4 linked regions of the Coturnix japonica genome follow. The protein of the gene in region 1 binds, or shares a complex with, the protein of each later gene. Links are inferred from orthologs where the notes say so. Each region holds a gene or a part of one and is shown on either strand. Other genes may lie near its edges.

The links.
Region 2: KAT7 (region 1) and JADE3 share a complex: the UniProt entries of both Homo sapiens proteins name them as parts of the HBO1 complex. The link is inferred for Coturnix japonica from reciprocal best matches to the Homo sapiens genes KAT7 and JADE3.
Region 3: KAT7 (region 1) and MEAF6 share a complex: the UniProt entries of both Homo sapiens proteins name them as parts of the HBO1 complex. The link is inferred for Coturnix japonica from reciprocal best matches to the Homo sapiens genes KAT7 and MEAF6.
Region 4: KAT7 (region 1) and JADE2 share a complex: the UniProt entries of both Homo sapiens proteins name them as parts of the HBO1 complex. The link is inferred for Coturnix japonica from reciprocal best matches to the Homo sapiens genes KAT7 and JADE2.

What each region holds. Positions count from the first base shown.
Region 1 is NC_029542.1:2,706,531-2,713,836, forward strand, and holds the start of KAT7 (histone acetyltransferase KAT7), read right to left. Parts: upstream 4,867-7,306; 5' UTR 4,655-4,866; coding exon 4,640-4,654; intron 3,345-4,639; coding exon 3,197-3,344; intron 2,397-3,196; coding exon 2,220-2,396; intron 2,025-2,219; coding exon 1,785-2,024; intron 1,235-1,784; coding exon 1,152-1,234; intron 931-1,151; coding exon 841-930; intron 149-840; coding exon 50-148; intron 1-49. UniProt on the Homo sapiens protein: Catalytic subunit of histone acetyltransferase HBO1 complexes, which specifically mediate acetylation of histone H3 at 'Lys-14' (H3K14ac), thereby regulating various processes, such as gene transcription, protein ubiquitination, immune regulation, stem cell pluripotent and self-renewal maintenance and embryonic development.
Region 2 is NC_029516.1:117,322,312-117,329,515, forward strand, and holds the start of JADE3 (protein Jade-3), read right to left. Parts: upstream 4,384-7,204; 5' UTR 4,252-4,383; intron 4,109-4,251; exon of another isoform or gene 4,056-4,108; intron 1-4,055. UniProt on the Homo sapiens protein: Scaffold subunit of some HBO1 complexes, which have a histone H4 acetyltransferase activity.
Region 3 is NC_029538.1:3,341,333-3,348,835, reverse strand, and holds the start of MEAF6 (chromatin modification-related protein MEAF6), read right to left. Parts: upstream 4,827-7,503; 5' UTR 4,777-4,826; coding exon 4,681-4,776; intron 4,557-4,680; coding exon 4,441-4,556; intron 3,981-4,440; coding exon 3,893-3,980; intron 3,786-3,892; coding exon 3,740-3,785; intron 3,318-3,739; coding exon 3,128-3,317; intron 2,885-3,127; coding exon of another isoform or gene 2,860-2,884; exon of another isoform or gene 2,142-2,859; intron 575-2,141; coding exon 545-574; intron 442-544; exon of another isoform or gene 384-441; intron 1-383. Other genes in the region: SNIP1 (smad nuclear-interacting protein 1), read right to left, coding at 6,298-6,562, 7,224-7,503.
Region 4 is NC_029528.1:2,389,481-2,396,238, reverse strand, and holds part of JADE2 (E3 ubiquitin-protein ligase Jade-2), read right to left. Parts: intron 4,857-6,758; coding exon 4,739-4,856; intron 4,608-4,738; coding exon of another isoform or gene 4,597-4,607; exon of another isoform or gene 4,168-4,596; intron 1,188-4,167; coding exon 1,059-1,187; intron 1-1,058. UniProt on the Homo sapiens protein: Scaffold subunit of some HBO1 complexes, which have a histone H4 acetyltransferase activity. Acts as an E3 ubiquitin-protein ligase mediating the ubiquitination and subsequent proteasomal degradation of target protein histone demethylase KDM1A.

The sequences.
Region 1 (7,306 bases):
AGAATGTTTCATTCCAGATACAAAGGAATGAAAGAATTGCTGCTTTTACCATGTATTTTTCTTTTTGTTCCTTGCTTAGTCCTGAATTCCTCTTCTTCCTGAGCTCAGCTACTTTCTCTTTGTATCGAAGCTGTCTCTCTGTTGGTGCCTGAAAAAGAAACAGAGTCAGAAAGCTTCATTAGGCTTCATGCACTTCAAATATTCACCTACATCTTTTCACCCTGAAGGAGCTCTGTGCTGCCTTCTATTTTTTATCACATTTGTTGCCTCCAAACCGAATCCTGCATGCATAAAAAATCACTTAAGGTATAACACAATTTTTTCTCCTTTATGTAGCTTGCCTTTGTCAACACACCTCAGTCCCACAAGACAGGGTGCAATCCTTATGCACTGCTTAATCACGTGGAAAAGCTCACTGCTGACTCATCAGCTCACCCTGACTCTCAATCAGGACTCATTTGAATTGAGAAACATAATTCCCCTGATGGAACTATGCAGAGTAGAATGGTGGCATATGGGTCTGCAGAAATTCAGCTGAAAAGCTGAAAGCACACGGAAAAGACCATTGTGAGAACAACTCCAGCCTCTTCTGTAATACTACTGCTCAAAGCCTCCTCTTGGCTCTCACCAGCTGCTCCAGGCTCTTACCGAAGGAGAAAATGAATTTTCCTTGCTGAAACAAATTTGAGATTGCAAAAGAGAGCCACAGGACTTAACACGATAGCTTAACTAAGTGGTAAAGAAGGGAGATCGAGTTAAAGTCACTGTCACTAGAAACCTAAGCTGAGTTTTTTCCTACTCTTAACAGAGCAGCCACTCCACTACATGAAGACTGCCCACCTGGTGCCTGGTGGCGTGCCTGTTGTTGTCATCCTGCCGATGGGCCAGCATTCTCTCCTCAATCTGTTTATCCCGGCTTTGTGCTCGCACCTGGAAGTCAAAACTCCACCATCAACACTGCAGCAAACTACTGTCACAGCTTCCATCTTGTCCCTTTGTCTGTTTAGGTGTAACATAAATTATTTGACAAATGCTGCTGTCTTATAGCTAAGGATATCAGCTGGATCACACTATTTCCTATGCACAAACAACAAGTCTTGGCACTCCGCCCTATAAAAGCATAAGGGAGATAAAACAGAAGACTTCATTACCTTGCACTCATCTGCTGACAGGTTGTGATACAGTGGGCATCCTGATATGGAGAAGTGTCGCTCGTGTTTTCCAGTTAGGTGTCCTGTAAAGGATCAGGAAAAAGAGAAAGCTTTCAGCATATGATCATTAAATGCAGCCCAGATGGTCAGATACTGCATACGAGCTTCTCAAGAGAATAACTCAATTTGTTAACAGTGTGGTAGGAGGAAAACATTTCATGCTTCGTGGCACAAGCTATAAGAACAAAGAAGGAAAATCCCTTTCACATTAACTCAAAAGCTGCGCTCCATGCAGGCAGTCAGGTACATTAGATGACTGCATTCATCTGTTGCTGAGAACCTGCTTTTGGCTGAGATCAATACCCTCACCTACAAGGCTCTGCATTCTCCTCCCACACCTGTGCTTACTCTCCTAACTTGCTCTTTATCCCATCGTCCCCCAAACACCTCTAGACAATAAAGATAGAGCTGTGGATATGCTCCGTAACTCTTCTCTATACCCAATTCTCAGTACTGTTTCTGATTCTAAGCAGCTCCCTATCGTTACGTTGTATAAATCAACGGAGGGGGGGGCTTAATATCACCACAGGAAGGCAAAAAAAGTCAACAAATCAATCCTGGAACTGAAATTACCTAAAGAGTTACAACCAGGAGTGGGACATTTCATGTTGAAATTGTAGCTTTCATGGAAGCGGCGGCGCTTAGGGCGGTGAGACAGGTCACTTCCAGAATCCTTCATGGACATGTCCTTGGCAATGCTCTCATCATGGGATACATTTGGACTGGAGATATCAATATCAGACTCTGAGGAAGGGGCATTCCCGGTGGGGGTACGAGGTGGAGACTCATCGTGATCCGCTGCATTTTTAGTGTCTGAACAAGGATCAAGATGTTACAAATTTGCCAGAAAGAAAGCTTTCAAATATATATATATATATGTAAAGCAACTCTGGATAGCTGTCTCAAACCCTCTAACCTGAGGATATCACACTGTGCCCAGAGAATGGAGCCACATATCCTTTCCAATGGCATTTTACAAGCTCTCGACACCTCACTGTGTCTACGTACCTCTGTCAGAGAAGTCAACCACTTGTTCTGTTTCTGATCCAGACGAGCGGGTCTGTCGGAGTGGGTATTTCTTTGGAGTCACAGGAGCAGGCTGCTGCTGGCTGCGGGTCACTCTCCTCGTGGAATAGACTGGTTCTTCTGCTCCAAATGAGGGCGGATTGCGAACTGGGCTGGAATCTAATGTCATAGAAACACCATAATTACACCCACAAGAAGCAATGAATGCCCGTGAGCTGCAACACATGAGCTCTGATGTCTGTAACACCGACATCTGATAGGGTATCAGCACAGGATTCTGTGCAACCATTGCACATCATCACGGAGATACGTTTATATTCTTCTAATTCACTTTTACAAACACACATGGATCTGGTATTACATCCACTTTCTCTGAGATAATAACTTAATGGATTAGGAATTACAAACAGTTCCCATTTAGAAAGTAGTAGCGATTAACTTAGATTACAGCTATCAGCATTTAGAAAACTCTTGAGAATATCAAAGCTGCTCCTGGTATAGAGACACATTTGGGACACCACGTATGGTTTTATATAGACACACTGCTCATAAGGTTATAAAACAGTTTATTCTGCATGAAAACAATGCTTTCATACCCTAGCAGCATTACAGGCATCCCACATACCAACCCAACCCACTTTTCTTCTTGTTTTTGAGGCATGCAAGTAGGTTTTTTACCTACAAGAAAACCCATCACAAAACAACACAGAAGGAACAAACTTATCTACTGCCATTTTCTCCCCTTGAGGCAGCTTAATAACCAAGAGATCAAGGAATTGATATTGTAAAGCTAAAAATCAGGAGGTGGACATAGGCTTCTTCTTTTAAACTGGGCGTAAAGGCAAGCAAAACAAGCCTTGAAAGCACATCTTGACATATATGATTACCTCCCTCTTTTGCTTACCAATATAACTACCAAGGTTAAATCCTCCTGCTTGATGTGTTATGAGGTGCTTTACCTTGGGAGCTCTGGCTGAGCCTGGCTGAGGAGCGGGTGACACGGGCGGACCGTCGTGACGTGGCGTCGCTTTCAGAGCTGTCCGTGTGCTCCGGATCCGTGGAGAAATCCGAGTCTTCTGTTCCATCTGAGCTGCTGCCCGCGTTCCTCTACGACACCATAGACAAGGATATCAGCAGGGATGTGCTTATATACCACATTAAAAACCCATACAGAAAGCATATGATGGATAACATTGAGTGTATGCTGTGATATACCACGTTATAAACCCATACAGAAAGCATATGATAACATTGAGTGTATGCTGTGATGTGCCACCTTATAAACCCATACAGAAAGCATATGATAGATATTGAGTGTATGCTGTGATGTGCCACATTAAAAACCCATACAGAAAGCATATGATAACATTGAGTGTATGCTGTGATGTGCCATGTTATAAACCCATATAGAAAGCATATGATAGATAACATTGAGTTGACACTGTGATGTGTTCAATATATAAATGCCAAGCGTTTCATGGCAGATATAAACCCTTTTGTGTCATTAATAATCATCACCCTGAAGGCCCAGAGGGGTAATGGGGGGGAATAGACGGGGCCTAGCAGGGGATGAGTCAGTTGTACACCACACAGAGCAAACCTGGGCCTGGAAAACAACAGGAGGGAGCACGGTAGGCAACGAAGCTGTGTTCAGCTTAGACCCGAGGCCTGTGTTCAGCTTAGGCCCAGAGGCCTGTGTTCGGTTTAGGCCCAGAGGCCTGTGTTCAGCTTAGGCCGCAAACGAGGCCTGTATAACGACAGCGGCCTTCAGGCTCCGGGCCTGTGAGGAGCGAGTGGCGGCCACTGAGCGCGCACACCGCCCTTAGGCCGCTTTGTTTTGCGCTCTATAGTCTCGGCCAATCATAAAGCGAGTGGGTGGGACCGGAAAGGTGAGCTCGCCAATGAGAGAAGGAGCATGCCGGTAGGGTGTGAGTGACAGCTGGTGGTAGCCAATCAGGGAGAGGTTTGCTCAACCCCCACCGGAGAGGAGTGGGGTGGGGGAGGGGAGGAACGAGGCACGCGCGGGGAGGTGACCGTTGAGAGGTGATGGACAACCGTGGTAGCCAATCAGCGGCCAGCCCAGTGTGACAACCCAGCCAATAGGCGGCCGACTCTTTAACCGTTTGCCCAATGGGAGAAACCGAGAGGAGGGACGCGCTGCAGGCGGAGGGGGAGGAAAAGGGGAACCGTTGGGGGCGATGAGTGACGAGCGGGGCGGCCAATCAGCGCTGCGCGGGTCTCTGCAACAGCCAATAAGCGAGCGAGGGGGGCGGGCGCAGATGTGGGGGTGCTGCAGGCCGCTATTTCCCCCCTATTTTCTCCCCATAACAGTTAAATAGAAAGGAGGGGAAAGATAGAAAGCCACGTCCTGACCCTGCCGCTCCCTCCCCGGCCTCACTCACCTTCCTGCGCGGCATCCTCGGAGGGGGCGGGGGCAGCGATGCTGCTTGTTCCCCGGCTCCCCCGGTTCGTGAAGCGGCGTTGGCCGCCGTGTTGGTGCCGGCGGGCTCCGTGGTGCCGGCCGTATCGCCCGCCCTACGGCCCGTCTGTTCCGCCGCCAGCCCGACTCCCCGCTCGGTCCCTCACGCTTCCGCCGGGACGCGGCCCACACCCCCCTTGTCACGTGACGCCGCGCGAGCCTCACGCCAGCGGGAGCCGCCATCTTTGTTTTTGGCTGTCTAAGAGTGAAGTTGGGGCGGCCATCTTGGTTTTGGGCTCCCCCCCCCCCCAACTCGGCGGGAATCGGGGCTTGCGGCGGCGGCCATGTTGAGTGAGGGAGTGAAGTCTAACGGGTGTTCACAGACACTCCGCGTGGCGCCATGTTGGGGCCGGGCAGAAACGCGCCGTCGGGGTGATGGAGTGATTGATTGGGTGGAGGAGAAAGGCGGTGAGTCCCCGTTCATTTTACGGCGGAGGCGGGGAGCGGCGGCCGGACGGCCCTCCTCGTCAAGGGGTGCTGCCGTCTGCCCTGCGTGCGGTCTTGCACTAGGCCGCGGCTCCTCGCTGTGGCGGGCGGGGCTGGGCGGGCCGTGTAGGCCTGAGGTGGGCCGTGTAGGCCTGAGCCCTGTAGGCCTCTGAGGTTGGGCCCTGTAGGCCTCTGTGGTGTGGGCCCTGTATGTAGGCCTCTGCGGGGTGGGCCCTGTAGGCCCGAGGTGGGCCCCGTAGGCCTCTGAGGTGCGGGCCCCGTAGGCCCGAGGTGGGCCCTATAGGCCTCTGCGGTGTGGGCCCCGCAGGCCTCTGAGGTTGGCTGTGTAGGCCTCAGGTGGGCCCCGTAGGCCTCTGCGGTGTGGGCCCTGCAGGCCTGAGGTGGGCCCTGCAGGCCTGAGCCCTGTAGGCCTCTGAGGTGTGGGCCCTGTAGGCCTGAGGCGCTCTGGGCCTACTCCCTCCTTCCCTCCCTTATACAGATGGGCCTTTGCTGTTGGTTAACCTTTATCTCCTCATCATTTCTATGTGTGTGTATGAACATTTGCCCTTGTGTTTCTCTCCCAGCTCAGCTTGCAACAGGGATGCGATTTTCCCTCAGCCCTGCTGAGAATGAGGGCGTTTGGTTAAACGTGTGATCTGTTTGTATTTAATTTATCTTTAGGGATTATCGAATAATCGCGGTTTAATCCTATAATCCCGGTGCTTTGTGTCACCTTTAGTCATGCAAGTTGCTTTCATTGCTACTTGTTGCTCTTAGGATCTATAGGATGCTGGAAGGGAAACATGGAGGAGTCAAATGGAATGTCTGTTTTTAGCTTAAAAAGAGAGGAATTGGAAGCTGTGTGTGTGCTGTGTGAGGTGGGAACCTTTGCATTGGTTGCAAATAGTACATTCAGTTTACATTCAGTGTAAGCATTTTGCACTCTCATCCCCAGAACAACTTGTTCTTCTGGTGTTCTTTCAGTGACCCAAATTGCAGCATAATGCATCAATTCTTCCAACTTTATATGAGGAATGGACTGAAAGAAGCCCAAACGTGTCTCAAATTGCACTTGACCCCAACATCTAATGCGTTTCTATGCTGTTAGAATGACCTGAAATGCTTAGTTCAGAATATGATGTGTGTGTAACTAAATGGCAGCAGGAATGGGAGCAGAGGAAAACGACACGCTTCTTAATAGATGGAAAAGGGAAGCATTGATCTGAATACGTCCTAGTTGCAAGTGAGACCTCGCCACAGTGAATGTATATCATGTTGCAAACTGATGAAGGGCTTTAATGGAAATAGAGTAGATACAGCCCAAACTTAGGCTGCTTCTGGTGGACATGATAATCTGTGTGGTGTTTGAATGGGTCTGTATGTAGAGGATATTTGTGGCAATGGTTGGAAATGCAAAGTTCCACTATAGACATCTATTGGAGCTGAAGGTGATGGGGAAAATAGCAGTGAAACCGGAGCAGATAAATCCTTGTGTTGGCTTCACCACTAGATGTCAGTGCTTGAAACTACAACCAGAGCAAGGCAGACAAATTAGGAATCAATTGAGGAGGAGGAATGATATCCTCTGCTCATACTTATGTCTCCTGGGGGTTAAGTTGCCTTAATAAGGTTCTTGAGGTAAGTTTAGTGGCTTAACTAGCAGAATGTTCCAGGCAGGAAATGAGGAATTTCCTGGTGTTGCTTCTAAAGGAAGTTTAGAAGGTGTTTGATGATTTGAAGTTTCATGTTAAATGACACAAAAATGTGTGTTTCGTTTCTTAAATCCTGGCTTCTTGAATATATTCACATTCTCAATTGCCATGAAGGGCAGCAGAGGTAGATAACAGGAAACCTAGGTGAATCTGTTGGAGTCTTTTTAGGCCTTGATCCTCACTAAACCTCTTTGAAACCAAAGCATCCTCCTATGTACAGAGAGGGATCTGTTAGCAAATACAGGCAATGAGAAGGGAATCTCCACCAAAAACCCATCCACAATCTCCATAAACAGGTATGGACATCAATAGGCTTAAATAAGATTTAAATGTCCAGTTTCTTGCCTTGGTTTGTGCTTGCTGTGGTGCTGGGTGATCTGTCTGAGGGATCTTAATGCAGCTATTGCTTAGGTTAGTGGTGGTACAAGGTAGGCTGCTTATGTAGGAGTTGT
Region 2 (7,204 bases), on another chromosome or scaffold:
ACAGAAGCGAGGGACACCCCATGCCCTTCTGCAGAGATCCATCTCACCCCACTGCCACCGCACTGACCGCTTGCTCCTGCTCTTCCATACACACACAGCACGTTTTAGCTGCATGAGCCTTTCTCCACTACAGCCCAAACCTGCTTGGAATGTGGCACTACTTCAGCGGTGACTCCACTACAGCTGCTCCGACACCAAAGCCTGTAAATCAGCGCACAAAGGGTATTAAAGAAATGCAAGCAGTTAAAAGCAGAACAATGAAGAGAATTAAAAACCACAAGTAATCCCACTAGGGACATTTCTTTCCTCCCTTGTCAGAACGCACGCTTCTATACATTTTGTACACAGCAGCCCCAAACCCAGGGCTTTCTGTACTGAGGTAGAAAGAAAACACTGCCCATTTATTACGCTGTACACGATACAAGAGAAGATTTAAATATCAATCTACTGCTGCTCAAAGCAGCAGGAAGGAAAGCTCTGTGTATAGTTACAATTTTCAAGTGCTCGCAAACACCCACATCCCTCTGTCAACCCAACAGCTGTGTCAATCTAACAGCAATGTCTTCACGTTAACGAAAAGCCAAACAAACACAAAGCTTTTCTCTCAGACTCCTAGCAGACACATCCAGTTCTGGGCTCCCCAGTACAAAAAAGACAGGGATCTCTTGGAAAGAGTCCAGCGGAGGGCCACTAAGATGGTGAAAGGCCTGGAGCATCTCCCCCATGGGGGGAGACTTAGGGAACTGGGTCTGTTTGGCCTTGAGAAAAGAAGGCTGAGAAGGATTGGATCCAGTTTTATACATACTGAGGTTGTGGAAGCCATAGTGGTGAGGCTGGTCTGTTTTTCAGTAGTGCGTGGGGACAGGACTAGGGGTAATATGGGATGAAAGTACAGCATAGAAGTTCTTCGTAGAAATGTGCGAGCAGCTTCTTTACAGTGAGGGTGACGGAGCACTGGAACAGGCTGCCCAGGGAGGTGGTGGAGTCTCCTTCTCTGGAGATATTCAAGACCCGCCTGGACGCCTACCTGGTGACGTGGTGTAGGGAGCCTGCTTTGGCTAGGGGGGTTGGACTCGATGATCTTCTAGGTCCCTTCCAACCCCTACAATTCTGTGATTCTGTGATTGTGCACTTCACCTAGGAGAAGCACTTTGATCTCGCAGCACGACATGTTGAAGCGCAGGCAGAAGCAGCGTGGCTCACAGGCTGGGCCCCATGCAGGCCTCATGGTGCCAGCCCCAGGCCCCATACCACAAAATGGCAGCTGCCCGCCAGTCTTGTGCACCACACAGTGCACACTCTGTGACATAATGTGTATGTTTGGTGGCCCTGCCAGGCAGGGGGGTTGGAACTACATGATCCTTGAGGTCCCTTCCAACCCGGGTCATTCTGTGACTCTGTGATAATGCCAACTAACTGCGACCACAACTCCCACCCATGGCATGGTCACACACTGGGGGGTTGGTGGGCAGCACACTGCCCCTGCCATCGACCTGAGCATGCTGCAGGTGGGACAGCAATGGCAGCCTCAGCATAGCAGCAGCTTCCAGCAGGTGCAGCAGCTCCACACAGCATCCTTAGGTAGCATTTACAGAAAGGGGAAACACAGGAAGAAAAGGGAAAGAAAGAAAGAAAGAAAGAAAACAAAACAAGTGAAAGAGGCCTGGACAGTAGAACAGCTAAATAACACACGACTCCCTCCAGATGGTGTGACAGGCCTATTTGTTTCAGCAACCAGTCAGGCATGTGTATAAACCTGTTTTTTAACATCTCCCTCCAGCTCTAATTAAAACACACCGAGGCATTAACAACATGATACGTTACATTCAACTTGCAGTTCAATAAGCAAATCATTTCACTCTACAGTGTAAGGCAGCAACAAGCGTAAGGAACACAAATGCTCTGGAGTGTTAAATGTGGTTCAAGGAGTGAAGGTCCCAGTGCCCCATCCATAATCACAGAACCATAGAACAGCACAGGTTGGAAAAGACCTTAACGATCATCAAGTCCAACTGCAGCCTAACCATGCTACCCTAACTAACAACCCTCTGCTAAATCATGTCCCTGAGCACCACATGTAAAGGGTTTTTAAACACATCCAGGGACGGTGACTCAACCACCTCCCTGGGAAGCTTATTCCAGTGCTTAACAGCCCTTTTTGTAAAGAAGTTTTAGGCTGGATACCAGGAACATTCACCCTGGTGAGGCAGGAGGCTGTGTCCCACACCACACCAGGCCCTGCAGACCTTAATACTCCCCCACTCTGCCCTGACCAGCACCCAGCCCCAGCACAACGTTTAATGCACCCGGCAGCCTCTCAAGACACAACCAGCATCTGTTGGCTTTCGTGACACAAATACCCCTGCTAAGAGCTATTATTAACTCATTAGTTTCTATTTTAAGTAAAGCATCTCAAAATTGCATTTACGTCTCCAATTACACGAAGCCTTGAGTGTTACAAGCGCTTCAAATCTTCACAAAACAAAGAGATGCCACAAAGTGGAACAGGAGCTGCTTCCCCCTCCACACATTCCACAGGTCTGGGGGAGCTGCAGCCAAGGGTGTGCAGTGGTCTGAGGGAGCTGGGAAAGCTTAAACCTGCACAACAGAGCAGCAAGCTCTGATTAGTTCTGTTTTGGTGTATGGTGAGTAAAGTAAAGCCCTAGCTATGCAGCAGCTCTCACTACAGCCTTGCACACTCATGTTCACACCAAAGGTCAGGTGGACAGACAAAATCTATACCTGCTACACGTACATGAAACACGTGAAGCCAAAGACTGCTGGGCTGCCTGACCCAACCCAGGGGGAAATCGGCTGCTGGGGGAAAGAGAGCGCAGCCAGTCCTGTACAAGGAAAGCAGGGAAGGAAACATCAAATGAAGGACAGGTAAAAGAAGCTGCAATTATGGTGATGCCTTTTGCCACATACAAAGGCAGCCTTCTTGGAAAGGAGCTTTGTTCTGCTCCTCTTTGGCATTAAGAGCAGAGCATGTCACATCTAGTTTGGAAAGAGGTCAGAAGTTCAGTTAAAGAAAAAAAAACCAACAGCCAACGCTTCACATCCTCAAAGCAGCAGCTTGGTTTGAACGGGAAAGGTGCTTTCTTAGCAAGAGACCAAAAAGTTGTGTTTTTTCCTTACGGTAAACGAATGCTCTTCTCTTATCCCACCGGGGAACTCTGTGGTAGCTGCAAAGTCAGCCCCAAACAGCCTCACTGCAGCCTCCCTCCCCAAGCCCACTCCCCAGTGCCTCCAACCAGGGCTGGGACACACACACCCAGCAGGTGCATGTATTGGTGATGCTCTGCAGAGCGGCCTGCGACAAACACCAATGGGACGTAAGAGGCTGCTCCCTTCACCCATTAGTTTTAGTGGAAAGGCTCTTTTATGTCAACAGAGGCACTAGAGCTTTCAAGTCACCGGTGTACTTTAATCAGAGTGTTTCTAATCCAGATCGGATGTTACCTCCTGCATCTTCTTCTATATGCAAAACCACAGCTTTCACGTACAGCGCTAATGTAGAGATATCTTAATTAAAACACGCAGCCATTTGTCAATGACACCTCAACTCTTACAAATAATAACAATTAGTAAAAGTAGTTGAAAAAGAATGAAAAAAAGGGTTAGCACCAATGTGTGCCATAGGGATGCCTTTCAGGACAGCCCACACCCAGCACCCCCCGCCCCGCGTTACCTGCGGAGCTCATATGCCGTGCCATGCCCGCTGTGAGGCAGTAGCCCCGCCCGCTCCGTGTGCCCGCCGCTCACCTTGGAGCGCGGCTCTCGGGCCGCCCGGCGGAGGCGTCGCGCCAGTGCTTTATTGTCAAACTGACTTCTAGCAAGTTCCTCGCCGTGCCGACAGGAGCCACTCGGCACCGGCAGGACGCCCAACCGCCCGCCTCCCGCCCCGAACAAAAGGGCGCCGAGCCCGGGCCCCCGCGCCCCGCCACGCCCGGCCCGAGCCGCCGCCGCAACTTTTCCCTCCGGATGCGGCCGAACCCGCGTGGGGATGGCGGGATGGCGGGCGGCCGGGCCGGGTACCGCGCCGCCCCACGTACCGGGCCCGCACCGCGGCGGGACGCGCCGCCCGCTCCTTTCTCCTCCTCCTCCTCCTCTCCGGCCTTGGCGCCAAGCGTCTCCTCCCGCCCGCCGCAGGCCCCGCCGGCGCCTCCCCCCGCGCACAGGCCCCGGCGCGGCGGCCCCGGCGGCCCAACCCCCGCCCCGCCTCCCCGCGGGCCGCCCGACCGCGCTCACCTCCCGCCGCCGGCGAGGCACGGCCCGGCCCGGCCCGGAGCGCCGCCGCCTCTCAGCTCGCCGGCGTGGGCGGCCGTGGCCGTCAGGGCTGGCGCCGACGCTCCCTCCGCGGCGGCTGCCGCCGGTGTCGCTGCCGCTCCCGCTGCTGCTGCTGCTCCTGCTGCTGCCGTCCCGCGCCGGCGCGCATCGCCCCCGCCCGGGCCCGTGGCCGGCGGCGGCTCCCGCCCTGCGTGCCGGCTGCTCGGCGCGCCGCGGCCAGGCCCGCGCCCGCCCCCACCCCTCCTCCGGCCGCACAAGAGCCCTATTGTACTGCTGACACCGCCGGGCGGCAGGCTCCGCCTCTTCCCCTTCCCTCCCTTTGCCCGCGCCGGGCCCTTCCTGCCGGCCGCGGGATGCGGCCCCCTCCCCCCGGGGCGGAGCGACGCGGGGTGGGCTTTGGCCGCTCGGCCGCCCCTCGGCTCGGCCCCCCGCGCCCCGCCGCTGACTCACCCGCCGCAGGGCCGGCCCCGGGCCCGGCCGCTTTCCAGCCGCTGCTGAGGGCGCTAAATTTAGAGCGTTCGGCCGGAGTTCCACGAGGCTCCTCCAGAATCCCCGAGCCGACCTTAGGGCTGTGCTGAACCGGCACCTCAGCGTCCGACCCGCAGCGGAGCTCCCTGCTGGAACCGCATGGAACAGAAATGGGCGGCATCGTTCAGAACGAAGGAAGCAACAATATGCAGCAAACCTCCTCCGTTAATATACAGCAAACCTCCTCCGTTAATGTACAGCAAACCTCCTCTGTTACTCGGCTTCGTGCCCAAGCGCAGCCCCCGTGCTCCTGCTCCACGTACCCCTTGCGTCAGGGGCAGTGGGAGACCTCTCACCCCCTTATCGCTCACCCCCTTATTGCTCACCCCCTTACCGCAGGCTTGTCCGCAGCCTCCCCACGGCCCCGCTGCTTCTGGAGGCACGGGAAGGCTGCTGCATGCACACGAGGCCAGGTGCAGCCAAGCAGTGACATGAGACAGCTCGCGGCATTGAAGACACAGCAGCTCTGGCCACAGGGTGGTCCCTCCAGCCCAACACCTCAATTGTACCTGCTGCAAAAGAAAAGTCTTGTCTTTACTATTGCTGCGTGTAATGCAAAACGTAACTTTCTACTAATGCAGTTAGACAGCAGCGGTGATGCTGATACATGCGACTTCCTTCACGCACCGGTGATCGCCTGGTTTGCTTTCTGTTCATCGATACACACTTGCCAGGAAAACACTGAGAGCAGATTGGGTAAAGCACAGTGTCAAGCAGAACACCAGGCACAACCTCATAGAATCATAGAACCTTCCCCACACATACGCTTGTGGGAGCTTCTATTAACCTCAGAGGCCTTGGCGGTAGGGCAGGCAACAGCAGTGAGACAAAGAGATTTGAAGTCCAGAATGAAGAGAACTCAGAACGATAAAATCGAGTCTGTGTATAAAAGGAGAAGACCAATTCCTGGTCATAAAGGGAATTTCAAACCTGGTTGAGTCAGACTGAAAGGAAACCATTTTCATGTAGCAATATATCCATTTGGATTTTAAAACTCGACATTTCTATGTTCTATGGGAAGATGTAGCGAGACGAATAAATAGGAAGCAGATTGTACACTGCTGCTCTTTGCAAATACACATGCAACAGTTCCCACTCTTTCCTGAGCAAGGATGAACTACAGATGCTGGTACCCACCTAGAGAATAGGAGGGATTCGCAAAGCCAGATGTTAACACGTTGATCAAATATAGCACAGCACCTTAAAGTCCTCCCTGGGGAGGAATGCAGTGGAAGCTAGAAATATAAGAGCTATGGTCAGGATGAAGTGATGTACACATCTATACCATGCTCACGTTGAACCAAATCGCTGCGCAGCTCCACAAAGGCTGCGCACAGTATATTACGTATTAAGAAAGTTACACTGAAGTAATGTTTAACAGCTGAGAAGTTGGGTCACTCAAAGTTTAACGTGGACTCGAGCAATGAAAGAAGTATCTATAATTGAAATAACTAGAAGTACTGCAGCGGATTTCAATGGAAAATGCACTGTTTTCTATGAAACCTGCTATCTCTGATCACTGAGCAGTGAAGCAGACGGCCAACAGGTCAGAGCACTGTGAAGGAGCAGCTGGGGAAGAGAGTGGGAGGAGGTGGGGGGGAGGAAGAAGGTTCATATCCCTTCATTTGTACCCCTTACCTCCAAGTCTATGCAACATTCCCATCCTGAACACGTAATCCTCCATGGGAGCAGCTGTACTTATCCCTGATAAGAAAAGAAACGTGCCGACACCAAAGCTTGGCATTACTCCTTTCTTTCAAACCCACCGCTTAAGACTTGATTCATTGGCAGGTCAGACGCTGTTGATGAAGCCTCGATATCATGCCCTTGAAATGAGAGCGAGCACTGACAGCTACTTGCAAGAGACGGGGCAGCTCACCTCCCTTATTTTCTTTTCACAATGAACAAAATTACTGAAGTGTTATAGCAAAGCACAAACACCCACCTGCAAACAAGAAAGCTAATTATTGCCACGGAGTAGCTTTCTTCTGCTGGGGGAAAAAAAAAAAACACATGCAAAGTAGAGTCTCATTTGAGCATCATTAGCTGCCTCAAAATCCTCTGTGACTAAAGTGTTCCTTTCCGACACCAAGTATTAGAAATAGGAGCAAAGAACACTCAGAGCTTCAAAAGGTTCTTGTTTTTTCTAAGGCTGAAGCCGATCCTTTAGCACCTGTTGGGGCAGCTCTCAAAAGATGCCCTCGGGTCACAGCTCAGCCCTTCCATTTAATCTGCACAACAGAAAAAAAGCACCTGAAGTGTTGGTTTTTTTAAAGAAGGGATGTTAGAAATGGGGAAAAGGGTCTCTCCTCTTAAAAAGGTCAGCACATCCAGCACATCCAGACAACTGAAGTACTGGCATCGCCACAAAGTACCTACTCTCTTC
Region 3 (7,503 bases), on another chromosome or scaffold:
TTCAGAATAAGAGTTAATAAAGATCACGGGGAAGTTACGTAGCATAAAGAAACACGGTTACGTACGCATGCTCTACATTAACTGGTTAGATGTGTGACTATGCCACAGGTCATTATTCAGACATAGCATTAAGGGTTATTGGAACAGAGAGAGGAGTTTAAGGTGGTGGGGATTACAGGAGACAGAGGTAGGGAGTTGGTTATGTTACATCCAGAAGGAAATAACCAAATCTACATTGATCTCCTTCAGAAGCAAAGCCAGAAGAATCAGTTTTTAAGCTACGTATTAAAGAGCTCATCTATTTCAAACCCGGAGCAGAGAGGTAAAGGAGTGTGAAGTTAATTCAATTTGGTTTTTGCCGAAGTTATTAAATAAAAGGTTACCTCCATCACGCTTTGCTGTTTTTAAAATAACCTTCCCAGCCTAACCTAATATACATACCTACAATTAAACAGATAAACTATGGGTTAGAAAGGTCTCAAAAGGCACATCGGTGTCTACACACTAACAACACAGCACAAGTACTAATTCAAGTCAAACTTACTCAAAGTCATAATCAAACATGCCAGACGGGCTGAGGGGCAGCATTTGAAAGGAAGAAAGCAATAGAAATTAATACACTAAGGAATTAAATCAATTAGTCCATTAGCCACCCTAAGCGAGAACGCTAAAAACAAAGTCAATGAAGAAATAAAAGCCGGTGTTCAAACGCCATGAAGTTCTGCAAAGTGTCTTTAACCAGAATGGGGCATAAGAAAAAGCACTGCAGGGTGGATATTGTCCCATTCCCAGGTGGATCTCAAGGATGGGGAGGTGTTAGGAGCGGTGTTATGCAGGGAATGCTGTGTGCTGAGCTCAGAGGGAGATCAGGAAACGGATTTGCTCGCAAAACCTCAACGGGTGGTCAGAAAGCAGTGGCTTTGTCTGGATTATTAAGCAAAGCAAAGCTTGTTCAGGCAGAGGTGGACACAACCATGAAGCCACGTGGCCACGTACGCACTCAATGTTCCCAATACTCACACAACACACAGCCTTCCACCCACATCCCTTTGGGAGCTCGGAATGGTGCCATGGCTGAGTCCAATTGTGGCTCATTGCATTCCCACCCCACATCTCAGCTCTCACACTGGTGGCACTTTACCCCAACCCTCACTGCTCTATTTGGTGCTTCTCAGCACCGGATCCCTATGAGGAAGGACTGTTTTCCCCTAAAACACTTTTTAGCCCTGAGAATAATTGCTGAACGCATAGAAAATCACCATCTGGGCCTTCTATGGTCTGAGGGAAGAGAGGATGGCTTCAATAAAGCACTGCCATGTGATCCCCTGTTTGAATAGTCAGAAATTAACCCAGCTGTTCACACCAGCTCTGCTCAATTTGAATCCACCTCTCCTCGCTGCCACTGGTGGAAGTCAATGCACCTTCAGAGCATCCATTCCCAGCAGCTCCCAGTCCTTCAGGTGAGCAGAATTCAAACATAGGCTGGAAATGAAAGAGCTTCTGAATGAGCTGTGCCATTAACAAAGCTGGGACTGGCTTTTGTTTGGTTTAAACCTGGATATACTTGAAGATCACTCAGGCTCTTCTGCTGTAATTTAGGGGGCAGTCGTTAGCAGCGATCACAACTTCTAACAGTTTGCATTACAAACACATTTAATCACTTTCCACTACCTGGCCATGCTAAGCATTACTGCAAAATCCTTTGGGTTCTTTAGATGCATCTCTTAGGATGATAAGAATTGTCATACCAGATCAGACCAGGGCTCCTCATGTCCAATATTGTGTCTCCAATAGTAGCTGCTTCACAGGAAGGAATGCAGAAGAAACCCCAAAGCAACACAAGCTTTCAGTAGGGCAGTTTCTTCCTAACACCCGTCACTACAGTTTGGGTGATGTAACGGAGCAAAAGAGTTTATATTATTTATGGCATTTGCAGCAGACCCCACTGTACCTGCAGCAGATTGCTTTGTGGTCCATGTAAGTGCCCAGCAGTGCTTTGGATTCTGTTTGAAACAGCAGCATTCTTATGCTGTACTTCAGTCGTACAGATTGTTTCTCTGAAGTGGTTTAGAGACGTGCTCTGTTACTCCTGGCCTTCCTCCCAACTGCCTGAGGGCTAAAAACCACTTCTGAACTGTTGCTGGTTCCTTGCTCAGGAGGAACCCAAAAGGACATCCAATACTTTGGGATGTGTGCCTGAATAAGGCTGCTGTGGGGAGAAAACCCTGACCTTCCAATTAAAAATGCTAATGGCTGAAAATCTAACTAATAAGTCGTAATTAATTGGCTTTCAGGCACTACACCTACCTTGGTGTCTCCCAGACAGACCTTTTCCCAGCAGTCCCTGTGGGATCTATCACTGTATTATAAACCATTTGTATAGGAAGGCTCCTCAAAGAGGAATATCCATCCATACCCAAAGCCAATGAGCTCAATAAGAACCTGACATCCAGGGAAAGCAGCACTGGAATTCAATGAATCCCAATGTGAGCTGTCAGCCCACTGTGCTGCATCTTGCCTTGAAGGTGCGCCTTAAAGGGTTGAAGTGGTCACCTAAATTCAATCACAAAGAGCTCAGGAAATCTGTTTCATGTGAATTTCAGGCCAGTTTAATAACAAGAGCTTGTGGTCTGTGTGATAGAGCAACTTGTACGTGCTATAATCAAAGGACTCTGGGACACGATAACAGGAAAGCTTTGGAGTAGAAAATGTAGTAAAGATAGTGAGTGTCGGCAGCCCCCAGAACACTCTAAGCTGTTTTCCATCCTCCTCCTCCAAAGAAAGCACTGACATTCCTATCTCCCTTAGCTCAGTAGAAACCAAAGAACAACCACAGGAAGCCGGGGCTGTCATCTTCCTCTACTGCAGGGAAGACAGCTTTATTCTGCTTGAAAAGAGAAAAGAACCCACAAAGCCTGGTCAGAAACACCTGAGCTGTGAGTACCCTGTGCTGAATATGCCTGCTGAGCTGCCTCCCTCCCTGACACAAGGAGAGCAGCAGGAGCACAGGCAGCTTCAAAGCAAGTGATAGAACCAAACGACCTGACGAGTTACTAGCTCCCTTCACATCATCAGCAAGAGCCAACCGTTCCCATTGCACTACTAGAAGGCTGTCGGTGCCACTAACCTGTGCCTGTTTTTATTCTTCCTTTTTTTGTGGCTGCTGTGATGGCTTCCAGAAGTGGAAGAAGCTGCTTTTTGGGGTTTCACCCCTTGCACTGATCCATCCAACTCCTCAGCATCCTCCTGGCTGGGTTCGTTCTCCTGATTATGGAAGTCTGGAGATGTGTCGCTTTCAGTCCCACTGCCCGGCTCACCTGGAATGGGACGAGAAGCAGAAGAGCCCAATGATTATCACCTCACTGTTCACATCCCAGGGCTGCTCCTGCAAAGTATGGGGGGGAAAAAAGGGCTACAAGAACTACAGACACCCAAATTTCTGGTGCCAAGGACTGGAAATGCAGCCCTGCTGTCAGACCCAAAGCCATGGTGACAGCAGAAGGAAAGGTCTTAAAGCTGGATGCCCACAACAGGCTGCAGCCTCCAGTAGTGAAGCTCTTATCTCCTCCCATAGCCACGTGCAGCTGATGGAGAGACACAAGACATCTAAAGGCATCACTTCAATCCTGGTTTCTCCATCCAAAGTGGACAGCAGAGAGCCCAACAAAGCAGAGATGGGGCCGAGCTGTGGGGAGAAGCTCAATTCTTCCTAATTCTGCCAAGTGAAGAGGTGACTTACGCTTCTCAATGAGCTGATCCTGGACTCCAGCTAACGCACTGACAGCCTGGAAGGATGAAATGGGTGTTAATGACAACAGGGATGCACTCATGGCTTAACAGATACCCACAGCAGCTTGGTCCCATGGGGTTGGGGGCTGGGGGCAGCTCTTACCGCAGCAGAAGTGACTGAGGATTTGCTGAAGAGCCTCTCGGCCTCTTTAAACTTGCGGTTCCTGCGGTCGTTTTTGCTGTTGGAGTTCCTGCAAAGGAGAAAAGAGGATGGAGGCGGCCCATGGAAGGGGGGGGGGGGGTTGGATGGATGGGGAGGGGGGTTTGGGGGTCCCATGGAAGGAAGGGGGGCGGGTTGGGATGGATGGGAGAGAGGCGGGGCTGAGGGTCCATGGAAAGGGGGGGGCTGGGATGGATGGGAAGGCGGGGTTTGGGGTCATGGAAGGGGGGGTTCTGGGGGTCATGGAAGGGGAGGGGTTGGGATGATGGGGAGGGGGTTTTGGAGGGTCCATGGGAAGGGGAGGGGTTGGGAGAATGGGAAGGGGGTTTGGGGGTATGGAAGCCGGGGAGGGTTGGATGGATGGAGAGGGGGATTTGGGGGTCCATGGGAAGGGGGGGGTTGGAATGTATGGGAGGGGGGTTTGGGGGTCATGGAAAGGGGGGGTGGGGGGTTGGGATGGATGGGAGGGCGGGTTTGGGGTCCACACTCACTTCTGGTTGGTGAGATAACGGTCCCAGCCGCGGATGATGTTGCCGTACATCTGCGTGTCCTCCAGGTAACTCCCTTCGAAAGCATAAATCTGCCTTTCCAGGTTGGCCAGCGTCTCCTACCGGGCACACACAGCGCGATGCATAGAAGCGGGCCTGGCCTTACCTTAAGGCCACAACCACAACCACAAGCCTCACCGCCTTCCCACTTTATCCCCCCCGTCCCCATCGCTCCCTGCTCACCGCCAGCTCCTGTTTGCGTTTCACCAGCTCGGCCAGCTCCCTTCGGGTGTCCGGGATTTGCGGGGGTCCGCCGGACTTAGCGTGCAGGGCGGCCATGGCGGCTGCGGCCTGCGGGGAGCGGGCGGGGCTGCGGGGAATGGCCGCTAGGGGGCAGCACTGAACAGCGCTCCGCCCCCCTGCTCCGCCCCGCAGCCGCTATAGGGTCGGGCTTAATAGGGACATGGGAGGGGGGTGATGGGGAGCCCTAAAAGCATCCAGGATTTGGGTCTGTGCAATAAACAACAAGGCAAACCTCGAATATAAGGTTGAACCCTTCTGCTCACTCAGCAGCTCAAAAGCAGGGCTCAGTGCTTCCCTGTGCAGTGCATGGGGGGGAAATAGGGATATAGGAAAGAAACATTACAATTAAATAGAATTACAAATTCTTTATTTAAAAACCTTGAGATTGTGTATATATATAAAGGTGATCCTTCAAGCCAAGATCTATCCTGCTTTCTATATGAAAACCTATATCAACACCCCGTATTTACACCATCAATGCTCCAGTGTGTGTATACAGGTTGTGTGTGTGGCCATAGAACAAACAGGCAACAGTGTGTTAAGCATCAACATGGAAACCATAGGGAACAGACAGCCACAAAGAGGTGAGATGTGTTTGTTTCCAGTCATTGGGGTTTTTAATTTCCTCTTCCTAAAGCTTTTCCTGTGGGGGAGAATGTTAGAAAGCAACGAGAGCTTCAGTTCTTTTTATATATATATATATATATATAAAGAAAAACTTAAATAGTGCAAACCGGGTAATAAAAACATGCCACCACGTAACGAGTACAATTACAAACAAAAAACATTAAGTTACTCATGGAGCTGATAGAAACAAAGGGCTGAGGTTTAGGAGATACATGACAGTCAGCCATAGTTTGGGTGCTGCAATGTATAGCGTGCATTGATGTGGACCTCAGCCCTCCCAAACCACATCGTTGCAACCTAAAAGCCTCAGGTTGTGTTTCCTTTTCTTCTCACTTACCTTGGAATCGACAGGCAGCTCATTGTGGTCAAATGCCCATTGCTCACAGTGCAGAGCAACCACCCAGGACACATAAAACCTTTGCAATATCCCTCTTTTAGTAGCAAACCTGGTCATTCTCCCTTCTAGAACTCTAGAATTTGGCAAACTCTACAAAACAAGACATTACAAACAATGCATGGGGTTACATTTGAAACTAACACCTCAGTTCAGTAGCGTTTTCAAAGGCTTATGACAAAAAACAGTGGATAAAAATATTCTTAAATACACTTTGCTGTGTTCTACATCGTTTCTTTATCCAGCAGAAAACCATCTTTGAACATGTTTCCAGCATCAGATCATTCACATCCAGCTGCTCTTTTGCTTGTCAGGGGGGTGAAATAAGTCAGATTTCCCACTATACAGACCTACCAAAGCCAAATATTCAGTGGAGTCCCCCACAATAAACCATAAGAACCAGTCAGCAACAGAAGGACTTTAAGGCAATAAGAAGCACCAGTGCTTTGATGCTCCAACATCTCCATCCCAATGCATGTTTTATTGTAAAAGATTCCTCTCCCCTGCTCCCCCATCCCCAATTGCCTTCATGTCTGTTAACTATCGGACTCTTCCTCCTTCTCCTCTTCCTCATCATCGTCCTTTGCGTTGGCCTCTGATTTATCAGATGATTCATGGAGAAGGACGTACTCCCTGCTGCTGAAGCCAAACTTCAATACATCCTTTTCTTTCAGTTCGTAGTAACGTTGAGGCTCAATCCTCTGGTTGTTTAGAAAAGTACCATTGCCAGAACCAAGATCAATGATATACGGCTTTACCCTGCGGCCAACTGTGCCATCAGCGCGTGTGTGCTCCACAAGCCTAGAAAACAAAAACAACCCATCAAGTCAATGATAACACATGGATTTTTCAACACATCAGCCCCACTGTTGTAAATACTTAACCATACTTCAAAGATCTGAGCAAGTACAATGAGAATAATTAGACAGGGCACGGAAATACTCAAGATTCTGACAGACTGCTTCACCCCTTAAAGTTATGATCATATAACATAGTAAATCCTGAAGCAGAACAGATGGTTGTTCCTTAAGAGAGCAGCTCTGCCTCCTGAAGCACACAACCCTGCTGTTTATAAAGGAGATCGGCAGCCTTTGTTGGGAAGGAACAAATGAAAAACCCTCCTTTAAACGTTCTTTATTGCCAATCCCACCTGCTAATAACTCCAATTCAGATATACAGGCAGTTCTGTATTTCATCCTGTTGTGTTGTGTTTCTTACTAAAAGTCTAGATATGGTTAAACCAAAAGGAATTATATATATGTTAAGAGTCACGAGGCTGCTTATGGTTAAACAAAAAGGAATTACATATATGTTACATCCATACCTAAATTCCACCTATCTAAAACCATTGAGCAAACATGCATTTTCTAATCTGTGCACATCCAATACGTTCTTTGATTCCCTTTGCACGCAAGCGACCAAATAATCCCCACCTACCAGAGGGATACAGAGCGATACTGACCGGTATTGGAACACAGCGTGTTGCTTTGAGCAGGAGGGATGATCAATGGGGATATCTGCTATCCTGCGGTGCCTGCCCAGGAGATAAGCACTCTGCCTATGAATGTACATGACAGGCAGGAACTCATCGTTTTTAAATGGATAGAGACGCCATCGTTTCTTTGGAATCCGAGCTTCTGGGGGCTCACTGTATTTAATCACAACGCCTCGGAAAGTGTTGGTATCCTCCAGAAGGGCACCAGACAGTTCAAAGCTTGGTTTTTCTTTGTTTACAGCTTTAT
Region 4 (6,758 bases), on another chromosome or scaffold:
GCCCACAGCACTGCACTAACACAGCTCCCAGCACACTCCTGAACAGGCAGTGAACCCTAATGCAGTATGCCTTGGGTGAGATGGGAGGAGGGTCGGGGAGCTCTCTCTGAGCACTTGGAAGCATGAGAATCAAAGAGCGGCAGCAGAGATGACAGGCTGGAATGGAAAAAGCTGAAAAGCATCCTAATAATTCTGTCTGAGAGCAAGAGTGAGCATGATGGGCTGGGACGTGCTGAAGCAGCAGACCGAGAAGCAATGCTAAAGGCACACAACCAACTTCAATCCCTACAACAGAAACCCATCAGTCCGACATCACAGCTTCCTTCAGGGCTGGGGGAAAAGATGAGATCTGACTTTTGCTGTGGGTGCTCGCCTGTCAAAGGAGCAGTGCAGAGATGGAGCAGTGGTGCTGACTCACAGCATGGCAAACACATCCCCTCCACAGTGGTGCATGACCCAGTGCTGCCTTTCTGCCATCACAGCAGCCCCGAGCAATGCCTCAAGCTCTTTGTAAAATCCAGCACACTGCAAGACCCTGGTGAAGCTTTAAGACCTCGCTCCTCTTCTCTGCTGCCTGGTTTTCCAGACTGACTGAAGGGCAGTTTCTTTCCACAACCCTGTAGGACCCATTCAATAGGACAGAGTTTGCCCTGAAAACTCCCCCTGCTCTGCTGGTGGGGTTGAAGCTGATGAAGCAGAGCAGGATGTGGGATAAGCATCCGCTGGAACAGCCTTGATGGTGCTGAAGGTACATGCAAGCAAAATGGCACAGAAGATGTACAGGATCCGCCCTGCTTTGAAGTGGGTAAGTCTGATTTTATCACTGGGTGCAATTGCAGTTTTTCTTGCATGCTGTGCAACCCCAAGGCTGTTTAATAGCCTGGACCCAGCAGGGTGAGGTCTCTGCTGCAGCACTGTGGCCATGGCATGCTGGGGCTGATCCCACATGGGATGGGCTGGGGGCTGCACCGCACTCCTCAACGCTGCTCCCCAAAAGCAGGAGCCTCCAGAGAGCTGCCAGCCCACCAGAAGCTCTGTGCCCATAAAATCAGACTTACCCAGTTGTCCCAACACAGTTTCGTTGACTGATTTCCTTTTTTCTTTCTTCTCAGGGCTATTTTTTCTACCATCTCTTCCTTTCCTTCTTGGATCACTTTTCTTACCCTTTGTCTTCTTCCCAGTTTGTTCTGGCATTTTTTAGAGAAAAAGGAAAACTCTGTGTGAGACAAGGCACCAGGGTGAGCCAGCTCCACAGGGCACACCCTGCAGGGACGAAGGCTGTGCCACTTCTTGGCCAAAAGTAGGCTCACGTCTCTATAGGTAAAGGAAACGTGAATCCTGTAGGCTACATAAAAGAGGTTTGGGCTGTGGCACGGCCACAAGAGCAGAGCCACCAAAGGCAGAGAACTTGCTAGAAATTGTGCAGCCACCAAGGCACCCTCCTGGAATGGGGTTCTGGGGACTGCAGGGAGAAGCAGAGGGGACACCCCCCAAACTCTGCTCTGGAAACGTCACAGAGACCAGGAACAAGCCCAAAGCCTGCTGTAAAACCCACTGGGAGATGAGAAATAACCTCAAACTCCATTCAGAAACCCTCCAGAAGAACAGCAATGCACCCAGACCATTCCAAAGCCCTCCAGGAGACCAGAGACCCTCCAAACCTGCTGGCACATCGTAGAAACTGCCTGTGCACACCCCAGGCGGGCTGTGGACACAGCTGCAGAAGGAACTGAGCTGCAAAGTGCATAGCATTGGCAGTGTTTTTCAGCAGACCTTGGTGTGATTTTACCTTTCAGCTGTGGTAACTGTTTAAACTCATTACAGACAGTGGTGGAAAAAAACAAAGCTATAAAACCGGTGTATCGAACATGGCTAAACAGAGGAGGAAAGATGAGCAACGTCACCTATGGAAAGGCAGGAATGTAACTGCAAGCTATGCAGCTGTTCAGCTAAAAATCAATGTTTCCTAAATGGTTTCGAATTTCTACTGGATTTATTCCTCTTGGGTAAACAGGACAAACACATACCCCATAAAAGTACAACGTGTATTGCCAAGTGCAATACTCCAAAGGTTTTTAGTTACTCTCTCAGGCCCAGAGAAGTCTGTGCTAAAGCATCCAGTTTGATTTTTGAAGGGGGAAGGACATTGCTCTTACACCAGCATCTGGGCAGCTGATGGAGGTGAGCTGATGGAGGTTGTCAGCCCGACCAGCAGCTCAGACCTGCAAAAGCCATGCAGCTACCAAAGCAACAATGTTAAGAACTGGAAACTGTTGCTGATGCAAGTACATCAGATTTACTGTGTTGGATGGGGGCAGCACAGAGAAGGGCTCCTCTTCTTCCAGCTGGGCTGGAAACATATCGGGCAAGCAGAGGAGGGCATCTGCACAGCACCTGCATGCACAGGGGAGTTAACAGTCCCAGAGCTGCCAGAACCCCGCACAAGCACAGGGCTCACCACAAGAAAGAAAAGCAAAACAGGTATTTGTTGCATTCCTGCCAAATAACAGGAGAAACAGACACATTTTTCACTTTGCTTGCAAAATAAAAACATAACTTTGTTTGGACAGCACAACGGATCTAAAGAAAAACGTGAACGTTACTTTGTGAAGAGGGACCTGTCAAAATAGCAGCCATGTTTCAAAGCCAGGCAGAGCTTTCTTTCTGCTTCATGCAATAAAAATAAGGGAGAGAGAGATGGGCTCATCTTACATGGGCAGTTCTCACTGATTTTATTAAAAACCTCCTGCTGAAATCACCATTTATCAGTGAGAAAAATAAACCCCTCAAGAATGGCGCTTCATAGAGGAGCCATTCCAAAACTAACCTGAGCTTAAACCATCTCTGGGATAACCCCAACAGACTTTGGTTACAGCTATAATGAAAGCAGATAAAAACCAGCTTTGTCCATGCAAAACAGTGCAGATTTTCTTCTTTCTCTGAGGAACTGCAGGCGTGCAGAGCAATCCAGTCAGGAGCAGCACTGAGGATTGCTACAGGGACCATTCCCCATTGACTGCAACTCACTCAGCCACTAAATCACTTTCCAACCACTAACGATGCAGAACACAGCAGCATGGTATCCATAGGTTTGGTCCTGTGAGCTGCTGAGGACCTTTAGCTCTAAGGCACCTGAAGCGAGGAGAGCCAGCAAAACACATGGGTGCTGACAGAATCGTGTAGGATGAGGGCACTGAGGATGGGAGCAGCGTGTAGGGTTGAAGGAAGGATGGCCTGAGGGATGGGATGTGCTACCCCACAGCGGGGAGCTGTGCTGTCAACAGAAAATAAAACACCAAAGTGCTCTTTGACTCATGGAAAGAGCACCACGGAGGCCACCCAGCAGATGAACAGCAGCTTGGCTCAGACAAGCATATGAGCACAAAGCTCATAGGCAAATGCAAAGTGTTTGGGGCTACATAGGAATAGCACTTGCATCAAGACGCAATTACAAAGCCTGCATACCTATCTGCTGTATCAATCACCCCACAACTACAGTCCTCCAGGCAGGCCAAACACTCACAGGTGCTCCAGTTCCCCCCAGTGCACACCTAATGCCACTGGGAGCTCTCACCCCACGCTCTGGTGCTCCAGTTCCATATGGTCCTATGCTAGAAGGCGAGTTCCCACCCTGCCAAAAGCCTTCCTGGAAAAGGACCAAGCTGAAGAAATGGGTTCAGCCAGCTTCCCCAAAGAGCCGACGTGACAGCAGGCTGTGCTCCTGAAACAGCCCTTACAGTGAAACCTGCTAACCAGGGGAGCAGCAACCTGCCCCTGCCATCAGCCCACATCCCCATTGCACACCCTGGGCCCTGTGCTGCCCAGCCCCAGCCATGCAGGGCAATCTGCACAGGATCCAAGCCCCACACGTCTCAACACACACACACACGTCTCAGCCTCCAAAACTTCAGTCAAAGGAAACCTTTGTAAAGGAAAGCTCAGCCCAGACAGTTCCTGAAGAAACCCCAAACATGTGATGGCTTCAAATGCAACTCCAAAGCCACAAACACAACAAGAGTCGGATGCGTTTGCCAAAGCTCCAGATGCTGCTTCTGGAAAAAGTGTTCTGCAGCCACAGAGCCTGGTCCTGTGCTGCCACTGGAAGAAAGAAGGAGGGATGCAGGGCTGTGGGTTTGGGCAATGCTTGTTTAAAAGAGGAAAAAAAAAGACAGAAGGAAAACAACTTTATTTCAGCTCCTTAACAAAGAGGTGCCAGAGGTTTTGCAGGAAGTACGTGTGTCATTCCCACTAGCCAGTATAACGGAGCAGGAAGAACTACAGGCCACAGAGCTGAAGGAAGTAGAAGTCATCCCATCCACAGCTTCACTTCTGACACAACCAGAGGGAACCAAACAGACCCCAGAGCTGCTTCACAGGGCCAGGCAGTGCTGAGGAGCACAGCCCCGTGCTCAGGACTTGCTTTCAAAGCGAGGAATGGAATCAAGTGCTACTGCAGTAGCACCTTCACGTGAACCCTGGGATTCTGTTTTAGCACCAGCACCTAACAGTGGTCATCTGAGTGAGGATCAGGAGAGATGTGTGACAGCAAGGACTGCTGGCACCTCGGTCCTCCATGGTAAGGCATCACTGCACACTTCAGAACAAAGCTGTCAATGTTTGATGAGTCAACATAGGAACTGAGCTGGAAGCAGCCAGCAGGGCAGGGGAGGCTCTGCCTTCCTCTGCTGGGGTACTAAGGTTCAGAGGGCACTGAGCAGATCCTGCAAGTGGTACTGACCTGGGTAAAGATCTTTCTCAATGAGTATCATCTGCAGGTGGAAGATCTGCTCCTGGAGTTTGCAAATGGTGTGTTTCATTTTCTCCCGCCTCGTCACCATGTAACAGAGATTTCTAACCTAAAGAAACACAAGAAACAGTGTCTGGTTTAGCAGGGCTGGAAATGAGTCCCCAAGCTGCATCACTGTTTTGCTTCCTGGGGACAGCTCTGTGCCTGGCTGTCCATCCTCTCATCCTCACCCAGGCTGAACACAAACACCCAGCTTAGTCTGTAACCTCTCCTTCACAGGCAGAACTCACAAGCAGGATTCACACTTCTGCACCCATACTTTCTAACACAGCTCTTGGGCAGGAAAACGTGGCCAGGGCACTGCCCTGAGCAGTCAGGGTTAACCTGCAGCGCATCCTTCAATCTGTTCTGCTGAAGAACATTAATGCATAAAGAGAGCAATACTCACCAAAAGGGAACAGAGCTAAGAGAACCCCAGGTACCTTACCAGAAACCACGCAGCAACAGTGTGGATGCGCAAACTGTTGTAATCTCCCATTAATTGCTCACAGGCCTAATGATGCAGTTAATGTTTCTAAAGCATTATGTAGGTCTCAGAGGTTGGGACGCCATGGGAGCAGTACTGTAATGCAGCTGGGGGCTGGGGCATCCCCTCCTATCATGGAGCACTTCACACTCGACACAGGGACTCGCATCAGAAGTTGTGGGGCTATTGGAGAACTATTTCCACTCTTATCCATCAGTTCTCCTTTTGCATCCAGCATGGAGGTGAGCAAGGAGGGCAGAGCCAGGCCCCAGCTGTGCTGCCTGCATGAGCCATGCAGAACTGCCCACTGCCCTGCAGTGGGTGCTGACGGTGTACAAACAGAGCAGAACACACAGCTGACATCAGACTGCGCCAGTAGCCACGTGCAGATGTGGCTGTCCTGACCCACAGCTGGCCAGCACCTTCCCCTCCACACACTGATTCGTGTTTGCCCCACAGGTACCTGCAGTCTCACTTCGTTTTGTACTACAGCTCACGACATTTTACTGAGAGGGAAGCTCTAAGTGCAAGCCACTGAGGACAAGAAATAAGCTTTTCCCTAACGCTTCCTTCCCCATCCCCAGCCCCCCAGGACAAGCTCCCACCAGCAGCACATCCATCATGGGGCAAGATGCATCCCCCATTTCCTGCAGCTCTCATGCAAACCAATGGTATCACAGCTGCTTCTCATGGGCATGCAGCTGCAGACAGCTCCATTGCCAGCCTGGTGTCACGGCTCAGTGCCACTGTGTGCAGCATGACTGGGGCAGCCCAGCTCTGTCACCATGGCTGCAGCCATGCAGTGGTTCCCCAGGACATGACTGGTTTTGGTGGGGTTAGCCAAGCTGTGAACCCACACATGGGCACAGTGAGCAGCCTGGGGCCTCACTGCCACCTGGGGACAGTCTGGGAACACTCAGGTGTACAGGACAGAAAGGCTTTTTTCCCCCTCCATCTCCTAGCTGTAAATATACAGCACACTGCTCGCTGCTTCATATTTTACTACATTCTCTTTTTTTTTTTGTTCTGGATGGAAGAAAACATCAAACTGAAATTTCTTTATGAGGAAAACAACTGCCTCTGGCAAGCAATATATCAAAGTGTTTGGCAATATCTCCTCTCTGCAATTTTATACTCCTGGAAGAAAGCATCACTTGCACTCTGCTTAGAGAGACTGCTGGTATTTACACACACTTAGACAGTAAGACAGCACCCGCACTGCTTCCCCAGCCAAGCTGAGATGCTGGGATGAAAGCCTGGGAACCATACAGCTTTTTGTTACAACTAATTTAAACAGCCAGCTCTTGGTAAAGGCTTTAAACAAAAAGGGCCAAGAAGAAAAGGAGGAAAAGCGGGGAGGACCACATCAGGATATCCAGGAAATGGGACTGACATATTTGCAGAGCTAAACCTCAACCCTCAGTTCATTTCTAAACACTGCCTGGAGAGCTGCTGGGGGCTGCCATCACCCCAAATCCACCCTGA